Linked DNA regions of Arabidopsis thaliana. The protein of the gene in region 3 purifies or fractionates together with the protein of the main gene of each other region. This does not show direct contact. Each region holds a gene or a part of one and is shown on either strand. Other genes may lie near its edges. The genes, in order: ARF1, AT4G18590 and RPA2.

The links.
Region 1: the proteins of RPA2 (region 3) and ARF1 purify together in Arabidopsis thaliana (affinity purification with mass spectrometry, with the first as the bait; one large-scale study listed by BioGRID). This does not show direct contact.
Region 2: the proteins of RPA2 (region 3) and AT4G18590 purify together in Arabidopsis thaliana (affinity purification with mass spectrometry, with the first as the bait; one large-scale study listed by BioGRID). This does not show direct contact.

What each region holds. Positions count from the first base shown.
Region 1 is NC_003070.9:21,977,435-21,981,188, forward strand, and holds the start of ARF1 (auxin response factor 1), read left to right. Parts: upstream 1-1,904; 5' UTR 1,905-1,989; exon of another isoform or gene 1,990-2,185; intron 2,186-2,949; 5' UTR 2,950-2,979; coding exon 2,980-3,016; intron 3,017-3,221; coding exon 3,222-3,337; intron 3,338-3,592; coding exon 3,593-3,688; intron 3,689-3,754. UniProt on the Arabidopsis thaliana protein: Auxin response factors (ARFs) are transcriptional factors that bind specifically to the DNA sequence 5'-TGTCTC-3' found in the auxin-responsive promoter elements (AuxREs). Seems to act as transcriptional repressor.
Region 2 is NC_003075.7:10,234,387-10,237,779, reverse strand, and holds AT4G18590 (Nucleic acid-binding, OB-fold-like protein), read right to left. Parts: upstream 1,620-3,393; 5' UTR 1,472-1,619; intron 1,260-1,471; 5' UTR 1,257-1,259; coding exon 1,001-1,256; intron 905-1,000; coding exon 840-904; 3' UTR 512-839; downstream 1-511. Other genes in the region: AT4G18580 (uncharacterized protein), read left to right, coding at 2,256-2,322, 2,432-2,536, 2,654-2,742, 2,841-2,927; AT4G18570 (Tetratricopeptide repeat (TPR)-like superfamily protein), read right to left, coding at 3,246-3,377. UniProt on the Arabidopsis thaliana protein: As part of the replication protein A (RPA/RP-A), a single-stranded DNA-binding heterotrimeric complex, may play an essential role in DNA replication, recombination and repair.
Region 3 is NC_003071.7:10,398,815-10,402,568, forward strand, and holds the start of RPA2 (replicon protein A2), read right to left. Parts: upstream 1,685-3,754; 5' UTR 1,603-1,684; coding exon 1,498-1,602; intron 1,355-1,497; coding exon 1,244-1,354; intron 1,149-1,243; coding exon 1,048-1,148; intron 943-1,047; coding exon 901-942; intron 813-900; coding exon 735-812; intron 613-734; coding exon 534-612; intron 445-533; coding exon 358-444; intron 260-357; coding exon 174-259; intron 96-173; coding exon 27-95; intron 1-26. Other genes in the region: FZF (Zinc finger protein 622), read right to left, coding at 2,445-2,601, 2,685-2,894, 2,982-3,151, 3,229-3,754. UniProt on the Arabidopsis thaliana protein: Component of the replication protein A complex (RPA) required for DNA recombination, repair and replication. The activity of RPA is mediated by single-stranded DNA binding and protein interactions. Required fo cell division in meristems.

The DNA.
Region 1 (3,754 bases), on a different chromosome or scaffold from region 3:
TTCACTCAATGCAAAGATGAACCTCAAAATTACTTTTATCAATGACACATTTTTAAAGAGAAAATATATAAAGATATGAAAGTAGTCACTAGGGACTATGTAATCAATTGTGCTATTTACTGTTTAAACACACTAAAATATATAGTTTTAATGTAATTAAGTAATCCTACAACTTTCATGTGAAAATTCCTAGTCAAATATTTCACGTAGTGAGTTATTTAAAGTAAAACAGAATAATAGGTATGCTTATACGGGTCGAGTTGCTTTATTATGAATATGATTATATGAATCAAAGGATATGAATTTATATTTATCAAGTTACCACGTTACGACCAAATTTGGGTTATGGGTTTCAAATCTTGAACGGTTCATGGTATTCCGCCGCTTTTGTCCTATCAAGTATGGACACATTTTTCAAAAGTACGCTGGTGCCGAAGTAGTTTGTTGTGGCCTTGGTTAACTGTACCATTAATGCGTGTTTATAAACTACATGCTAACTCTAATAACTTCTCATACATTCACATCAAAGGACGATGAGCCTCATATACATACATAGTGATCAGAGCCATCCTCTAAGCAAAAAGACTATCCTTTTTAAAAAAGAGAATCATATTAAGGGCAAAAATTAACTTTCAAAAATAATTGGCCAAGAAGCGATGACTAATGTTTTTGCCAAAAATAAAACAAAATCTCAAATCTCAAAGCCTGTTTCATATCTCTTTTAAGAAGAGAGAAAGAAACTTAGGATTCCAGAACTAAACGTCGAAAGTTCTTAGATATCTTATTTCAAAGGGTTCTCCTCTGTCAGAAATTCTAGAATAACAGATTATTTCATCTTAGGTGGACTGTCATTTCTTCTAACTAGGCTAGTAGCAAATCATTATGCCCAATTTAAAGCTAACTCGCTCTCCATCTCCATTCGATTAGATTAGTAGTTAACTTTAAACCACCAAAAAATTTTATACATTTATTTGTTAGAGAATATTTGGAAGAATTGGGTGGTCTCGCTTTGTGCCGCTTTCTTAGCTCAAGGATTTTTGGATTCTATCTACATGAACTTCGTTATCAATTTTGATGCTTGATATTTTTGCCTAGAGTGTTTCAGTTTTTTTGTTTTTCTTTTCTTTTTCTAGCAGAATTGTCACATGTTATATTCATATTTTGAGTATTTTCTAAGAAACAATTAGGATGCTACATAGACATATTTTTGAAAAGAATTAAGAAAAAGTAATAGGTTTTGGAATTTTGCAAAACAAGCGAGAAGATGCTACACTTGATTGTTTTCAACAAAAATACCCTCAGAAATAATGGATGAGATTCACATGATAGCACTAAATCGCTACAAAATCTCTTCACTAGTGTCTCCTCCATAGTCAAATCCGAGCTCCAGATAAAAACATTACAGATTCATATGACAATATTAATTTTGTCACTCATATGAATTTGGTTAAATATATAATCTAATTTGAAAATACAAAAATCATGATTCATGATGCACCTTTCAATTCACATAATGTTGAAATACAGAAAAAATAATTACTCTCTCATTTCTTTATAATATAAGTTTTAGAAAGAAACCAAAAATTGTCTCATAAAGATAAATGTAGATTTTTTTTTAATTTTATCTCCTATTAACTAGGGTTGAATTAATAAAACAACTAATGAATATTTATTAAACACGAATATATTTGTAGTAGTAAAAAAATTCTTAATATGTATGCAAAGTCTAAAAACATACAAGTTCACTAATCTCTACTAAATTAACAGCTAAACCCAATAAATCCGTTAATTATGGCTAGTTTAGTGAATTTTTCTCAAAGAAAAGCTCTTTTTTCAAAGTTAAGGAGACTAGAGAGCAAGTCATTTGCTTGTGGTTGGAAACAAAAACCCAAAGCGACGACACAATTAAAAAAAAATATAAAGAGGAGAGGAGAAAAAGAGGCAAGCCATAGCCAAAGGGTTCGTGTCGGCTTCAACCAAACACTGACGGTGTGTGTATACACCTTTACATACACACCTTTATCTCTCTCTCTCTCACATCTTTGTTACAAATCAATCTTCTACTGTTTTCTTTTTCCTCTTCTTACATTATTTTTTGACAGCAATTCTTAGTTTCTCTTCTATCCCCTTTCTGGGTTTTGTTTGAACCCTAGCTCGCTTTGGATCCAGTGGTTTTAAGTTAAAGGTTCGATTTTTATTTCTGGGTTTTGCTTGTTTTGCTTGGTTCTGCTTAGTAAATGTTGGAAAAGGAGGAGACTTTAGAGGATCTGTAGTCAGATTTGAGCTGGGTTTGTCGATTTTACTAGGATTTTGATTTTGGGGATAATCTAGATCAGGAATCGTTACTTTGTTTCATATCCAAAATTCAACTCTTTTTCTCGTTCCTGATCTAAAAATCGTTCCTTTTCAAGCTTTCTAAATGAGGTTTCTCTTTGGTGGTTCTGAAATTTTGTCTGTAGCTGTTGTGTTCTTCTCTTAGATTTGATTCTGTATGATAATTTTAGGTTCTGAGTTTGAAGTCTTGTCATTGTAGAGATGGTTTTAGTAACAGTTTTGGTGTTGCTTTGTGTGAAGTTATTAAGGACTAAAATCTGTTCATTTTTGGTATGTTATTGAGCAGGTTCTTGTCTTGCTTTTGCTTTATTTGTTCTTTCTTTTTACCTCTTTGTTTGAGTGATTATTGGATTTTCTCTTCAAATTGGGTAATAAAATTTTGAGAATCTGAGTCTTGTGATGTGCTTTAGACACAATGTAGAACAAAGCAGTTACATAAATGGCCCACATTTTTGTCAGTAAATTTATGAATGGGGTTTTAAATGTTTCTACATAATAACATCTATCAGAGTTTTGTTTGTCTAAATTAGAGGAGGATAGGTCCATCTTCTTCTTTTCTCTTTCAGAATAACATTTCAATCTTATAGTTTTCTCTTCTTTTGTTTTGTTGCCCAGGTAAATTTATCGAAAGTAAGTAGATTCCTAATGGCAGCTTCCAATCATTCATCTGGTAAACCTGGAGGTTCGTGGAATATTTCTTGTTTTTATACCATTCTTTGCTATTTTCTACTGGGAATCCACTTTCTAAGCTTGTTTGGGGATTCTGCATAACTTGAAATGGATGATTAAGAACTGGATAAGGGTTTTAAAGCCTTGGAGATTGCAACCATTGCTTTGTTTTTGAGATATATTGTTGCGTCACATAACCCATATCTGTTTCTTTGTAGGAGTTTTAAGTGATGCTTTATGTAGGGAGCTCTGGCATGCCTGTGCTGGACCTCTTGTAACCCTACCTCGTGAAGGGGAACGAGTTTATTATTTCCCTGAAGGCCACATGGAGCAGGTTGGTTATTGGGTTGAATCATTTAACATTATCATTTGCTAAAGCCGGTTATGTTAATTGGACTGTTATTACTGTGTCAACTGTCGCTTCAAAATACCTTGTTGGTGCTTTCTAGTTTAAAAGTAAAATCACAAAACATGTATTGTTGTATAGAACGGATAAATGCACTACCTGTTTTGATTTCACATGATTATTGTTTCTTTCATCTTATCTGATTATCACATTTATGCATTTAATTGGTCACTTCCTGTGCAGCTCGAGGCATCAATGCACCAAGGTTTGGAGCAACAGATGCCTTCCTTCAACCTCCCATCTAAGATCCTCTGTAAAGTTATCAACATCCAGCGCAGGGTAGGCTAAATTCCATGATATATGATAAAAGTTTCTTACCTTTTCTTCATGAAATGGGTTGGCTAA
Region 2 (3,393 bases), on a different chromosome or scaffold from region 3:
GCGAAGAAGCAGATTAAACCACAAAAACCCTAAACGAGAAATCTATAAACCTCCACGAAACACACACAATATTTCAAGTAATCAAAAACCTCAGAATAATTCTTTAAGATATCAGAAAACAAGGGAAAAAAGGAATCACCTTTGCTCAGGGATGGATGGTGTCTGCTACACTGATTTCTTCTTCGTGACAAATCTGTTCGGTTTAAGTTTAGGTTTTGTCTTATGATTCTTCCATAATGGCTAAATCCCGGTTTAACCGGACCAGTTCTTAACGCTGTCGTTTAAAAATTTTGGACTGGGCCGTGGGCTAAGGTCTTTTCTTCAAAACTGTGTCATTGTGTGAACCAAAAACAATCTAAAATTCTAGAAAACATTACTAATCTGCAAAATTCCTTGAACATTTTCGTCAAAGTTGTGTGTATAATTTTTTGACCAACAATTTTGTGTGTTGTTTATGCTTTAGTTTAGATTTTTTTTTCTTTCCTAATTGTAAGTTTTAATGTAGATATAGTTTTTAGGGATTTTATATAGTTTTATACCATTTACAAGCTAGGATCCAATGTGATGGAATCAAAAGAAAAGCAAAGAGAACCAAAACACAAAACAAGAAACATAAGATTCATAGTAAGATCGACTAACACAGTTTACCTTAATTCTAATATGACACAGAAGAGTTTTCATACAGATTTCAAAGACCATAAGATAAATACTAGAAACCGTGAAACTAACATGAAACAGAAGAATTTCAATACTAAAGATCAACCAGGCATATCAATAGCTCCAACCCAAAGAATCTCCAAGAAAAAAGCTTTCCACATTCATCACCAATACCCTGTGATTTAGATGAACAAGTGTCTAAACTCACCATTTGCAAGCTTACATAGCTCATTGTAGTTTTGCACATCTGCAAACAAGCCAAGACCCCAAATCAAGACACAAGAATTTGCAAATCATAAAGGACATAGCTTATTAAAGGAATGATTTTTGCTTAAATTCATACCGAAACTATCACCAAAGTTGGTCCAAACTTCAGCACGAATAGTGTTGTCAGTCTCAGCAATTCCAATTACCTCAAGGTAAGTAGTTAAAGGCGGTTGAGGAGAACCTTTAACAACAATCTGTTGATCATCAGTCGATTTACCAATCACTGATCCAACATCTGATCTGATAACTTGAATCACTGCTCTCACTTTCTGACCAATGTACCTTCTCAACAAAGCTCCATTCACAAAAGCAGCAGGACTTGATGTATCCATTCTCTATAAAAATCAAAACATTCATTCGTCTTTCTCACTGAAACTAAATCAAATTCATATCATCTAAGTCAAAATCGAAGTAATTATCCTCAAATCATTAAGTAAATTGGTAGTGTCAGTCCCTAATTAGACCAAAATCCAAATTTCAAATCAAGCAGATAGATTTAGACCTATGTATAAGAAGAAATTACTAAAGCCTTGTGATTTAACAGTACCCGATTGACGAATTAGGAGATGCCGGAGAGAATTTCCGGTGAGGTTTCGGCGGGAAGAAAACCCTAGTCTCTGGATTGACGAATGAGAGGAGAAGATAGGAGCGAGGTCGAGAAATTAATAGTGTTAAACCGAACCGGTTTGTTGGAAGCTGAACCGCTCGAGATTGGTTTAATCAGAGACACGTCAGCCAACATAAATTAATTGGAAAAGGTTTAGAAAAGGGAAACAAAATAAAAAGTAAATAATCCCTATTTATATCGCTAATAAGATTACTGTTCATCGCTAATCTCTAGTTTTCGCCACCGCTGATGTCTTGTTCTTCTCTTACTGAGTTTTGATAATTCGTCGACGATCAAATTTCTCAAGATCTGATAAACGATTTTCTCTGAATCTTCGATAAGGTAATCCTATGTTTATTTGAGAATTCATCTCTTCTTTGAAATAATTCTCCTTTTCTGCTATTTTTCTATGGAACTTTTGGTTTTGATTCTGTTTATATGATCACACGGAAAATTAGGGTTTGCGTTATATTTCTTGCGGAGTAAATTTCTGTTTCGAACGATCTGAATTTCTTGTTTTAAGATGGTTTTCGCCGATTTGGTATACAAAGATGTTAACTTATTGTGTGGAAATTTCTTAATCTCTTTAGGTTTCTTCTTCGTTATCTCTTCTTTGTCTGGTTAGCTTATATCGTTTTTAGGGTTTTCTTAGATTTGTGCTGATCTCTCTGTTTCTCATAAAAGTTGTTGCAATTGCTAACAGGTACCATTTTTGAATCAGGACATGGCAACATTGGCACCAGTTCATGCTGTTTCTGTTCTGCATTCTCGGAAGAGGGGAGGCTGCAACGGTGAGCTCACTTTTCACCTTTTTTGTTTTTTACCATTTGATATTATCCTTTAGGTTCCTTCTGTTTCGAGTTTTGAGTTTTTAATCAGGAAATTTTGTGTCGTTTTCAGGAGTTCCTTTACCATATCTGATCCGACCTCGTAGGAAAATTCCCCCTGTTGATACGTTTGATTTCTACAACGATTCTGATGATGAGAGTGGTGAAGGTGATAAAGGTAATTGTTTTTGCTTTGTGAATGAGACTAGTGCAAGTAACTAAATCCGTTCTTTGTCCATTCGTTTTTTAATCGATCTGTAATGTCTTTGTTAACTTCTGACGTATGCATCATCAGGTCATTCAGATGACGAATATGTAGTCGTAGACAAAGCTGAAGCTATTATGCCCAATGTTAAAACAGAGAAACCAGGAGCTATTCAAATGGTGTGTATTCTAGTTTCGCATAACTTTTAGCATGTCTTGAAACTATATCCTTTCTTCTGTTTTGATTTTCCTAACAAATACGTCTCTTTGGTTTTCAGATGGAACTCTCAAAAGATGCAGTCGGTGATGATGAGTCTAAAGCCAAAGATGCTGGATACAGCAGTGATGAGTGGTTTGTTGTGTAACTAGGAGGTGCAATCAAAATTTGCAGGGTTTGAAGTTTGGGGTTTTAGGGCAATGGATTTAGTTTTATTTCTGCTGTCTCTTTGAAATATTTGAATATTTCATTCTTAGCCGCGACATTATTGTGAAGCTTTTATCAGTACATATGATAAGATGGGTTTCCTTTGAATATCAACTGTTTTAATCCTTTTTCAGCAAGACGATCGAGAACGTATATTCACAAGAGTTATAGGTCTTTTAAGACGAAAGAACAAAAAAACAAATTAAATCGAGAAAATGACAACAAGAGGTGGATTATATATGAAGCTAAGATTGCTTCTTTAACAAGGGGTAGATCGAAAACAAAGTTTATGTTGATGTGTTTGGCTTTGACACTGAACATGACATGATCTTGCTTTATCTCTTAGCTCTTCAAATGCCTTCATTGTTTCTGCATCAAATCCTCCGGCAAACTGAACAAAAACAAAA
Region 3 (3,754 bases):
AGGAGAAAGAAAGAAAAAAAGCATACTCTAGCTTGTTTTTTGGGATCTTCAACTGCTGAGCAATTTCATCGATATGTATCCCCTGTTGTCTTGCACTGCAGTGAACAGAACTATTATTAGACCAGTTTTTTAAGTGGAGCAATGGGGGCAGCAATGAGAAAATTCAAACTCACGTGCAAGCAGGTTGCTTTAGATAGTCTAGAATCATATCATCCAAGTTCTTGCGCCCATTGCCATCATTGTTTTGAGAAGAAACCACCTAAAAACGAGCAACAATAATGAGATTCTATTTCTAAGTACAGAAACAAATGTCATGAAGAAAACCAAAAAAAAAAAAACTTGGTGAATTCATCATACAGGGTTCAATAGTGTTGCCTGGTTTGTGTTTGATCCACCTTGAAATGTGGTGTTAACTGACTGAGTGACATCACCGACTTGTTGTCTCTATTGAGAAAGCACAAGTCAGAGAGGGAGGTTCGATTGCAAATTGTGAACAACACAATTTATCTTTTGCTATATTGCATTTTCTTTACCTGTGATTCAGAGTTCTGGGAGTAGAAGTGTATACACTCAATGTAGTGAAAAGTAACCTCATTGAAGTCCATAATAGGCCTGCAACACAAAACAGACGATTTCATATAAATATCTAACAAAGCTTATACAGAACATACCAACGTCTATTGCCAATGGTAACGGAATCAAAAGCATTTCACAACCAAAAATACAAAACATACCTCACAGAGAAAACAAGAAGCTGAGTTTTGCCCTGAAAAGTCTTCAAATGACCACTGAGGCGCACATAAGTTCCATCTCTGTTTCACAGCTAACAATTAGAAAACACATCCAAAACCAAAAATGTGATCTCACCACATAAATCAAACAAAAACCAAAGATACTAACCGCACAGACTCCATTTCTCTAGCGTCGAAAGTTTCACTCACCCTATAAGAAAGGCACAACAACACCAATTACAAACTTCATAAACTAACCACTGCACCGAAAAACAACTCTTGCATCTATCAAAAGGTAAAGTTTCCGAGTATTTACCATCTTTTACAGTCAATTCGTCCTGTTCCATCATCAAGAGTGAATCTAACTTCTGTGACTTTAGATTCATCTTTGTCACACACTAATCCAACAAGTGAAACCTGAATTATACCAAAAACATCACACAATTGAGTAAAAGTTTGACCATATTGACGAATAACGGTAATAAACAAAGAGATCTAGAAATGGTATTTACGTTTGTTAGTGAGATTCCATTGATGACGAGACCAGATTTTTCACCACTGGATTGGAAACATTCGGTGATTTGCTTCACCGTCACTGGAACAAGACCTTGAAAATCACGATTCTGCATATTCCCACAAAACATATACAGAGCAGATTTAGCAATTCCAAAATCGATTGTTACAGAGAAACGTTTAGCGATTCGGAAACTTTCGATCTGTAGCCTAATCGGTGGAATTGAACGAAATGGAAGATGGATTATATTACCTTAGCGGTGGAGGAGGAGGATTCGTAGGCTTGAGAAGGTTGAGAAGACATGAATCCGCCGCCGGAGAAGCCGGAATTAGGCTCGAATTGGCTGCTGGAGAACATTTTCGAAGCTACGAAATCGGAAAATCGAAAGTAACTGTGAAGAGATTTAGGAAGTTGAAAAGTGATCAAAGTAAAGGGAAGAGAAGATTTTGGGGGAATTTTAATAGCGACGAAAGAATTTTTGGGGGATTTTCCCTCCAATTTTGATTAGAGCTTCCCGCCAATTAGGGCGAGGTAAATCTATAATATAATTACTTTTTAATAAATTCAGTTCTCCGGTTTACTCTCAGTTCAGTTTATTCGACTCAAAAGCTTTCCGGTTTAGAAGACTTATGATTTCGATGGGCTCCTGTGAAGTTGGGCTGTTGGACTTTGGAAAGAGTTAGGCTTTAAACTTGTTCCTCTCTCTTTTGAAACAGTAGTGCCTGTAAGAGAGAGCAATAGAGTGATAAATAATAAAGAGATATAGTGGATGATGCAAGATATTCGTGTCGAGATTTACTCGCGGTTTGTGAGGAACTCGTAAATCGACCTGTGCATTTACCTTTATACAATTTATCAAGATAGCTAGAGAAAGTGAAGTCGAGAGCATTCGTTATCTAAAACAAATGTATAGATAAGTGAAAAGTGTACTAGATTTATGATTTAGCAGATAAAGATTGATTAGCTCTTGATCTTCTACCAAATGAAATATAGATTAATGTAGAGTGTACAAAGCACTGGGCAAGAGATACAAACTCAGCCAAAACGTAACATTTTCAAAAGACTAAATCAGACAAAACAGAGACCCAAATGGGCCTAAGATACTTGAGTACTAGTGAAAAACTTAGATAGATTTACTCACCAAAACTCTGGTCACAAAATCAAACAAAGAGGAGAGACCTGAAAATCGAGGAGCAAGACTAATAGGTGACATTGTTGGGCAGATTCCTGATGACGTTGCTCTTCATTCCGAGCCTGACACTGCTTTTCGCTCCTCTTTTGTTCATCTCTCTCATCACCTTCATCCTCACTATGGCCTCCTTTGACTGCACTGTTGCTAGACCCATCATCTTGTACCTGTGTTTTAAGACCCATTCACGTCAGATTCAAATTCTACACAGAGACAGTGATAAATGATCTCTGATCGGTTAAAGACAAACCTGGAGGTTAGAGAGTTGACAATATGCTTCTGAGAAGACGGTGCTGGCTTCTGTTTGTAGTAGCGCATGAATTCTCGAGACCCAAGAGTCCTAGACGTTACTTTGTTATCGGTTCTCTTGGTGATCACAAGCTCAGACCCACCAAAAAGCTCTACAGTGTTCACTGACTCACCGGACACAACCATCTGATTTTCGTCTCCATTGACATAGCTGTACAAACACACATCAAAAGAAGACACAATTAGTTCAAGCACATTTAGACACCAACAACAGAGGAGAAAGCAGAAGAAATGGAACCTGCTGCTGTAGTCATAGAACTCTTCAAGTTCTGCATCTTCTTCATCACCACCATCACCATAATGCACTTTGCAATGACCTTTGGCGTCCATATGCTTACGAACAGCTTCCAAACTACTAAATGGATGGCACAATTCATTGCAGTACAGACACACGAAGTCTCTCTTGACCTGAAACAACAACCATGTAAGTACTAAGTAGCAAAGAAAAACAAAGATCTAAGACAGACTAAGCACAAAGCACAAACCTTTAGACCGAGGTAGGTCAGAAACCCTTTAGGATCCTTCAAGTACTCAATATCAGGAATGAAGAACCCATGAAACTTATGCATATGAACCATACATTTCTCTATAGTCTTATGCTTCTTATCACACATCAAACAACAAGCCGGATCCAACTCAAATTCAATACCATCTTCATCCATATCTTCTTCTTCACCATCCTCATTCATTTCCGCATCCAAATCCTCATCCGAATCAACCTCAATCCATTCATCTTCACTCTCTTCCTCCTCAATCGAACCCTTCAATTGAGCAGTGTTATTCTTCTCAACACGACGAGGCGGAAGCTGCTTGATGATCGCTTTATCCTCCTCTCCAGTACTCGTCGAAGCCTTCAAAACATGACTCTTCGACTTAAGATGCTGCTCATGAGCCTTGGAACTCCTGTAACCTTTGTTACAGATTCCACAACTATAAAGCATCGGTGCTTCAACAGCTTTAACCTTCTCTTGAGCTATAGCAGCTTGTCTAGCTTCAAATAGTGCCTCTGTT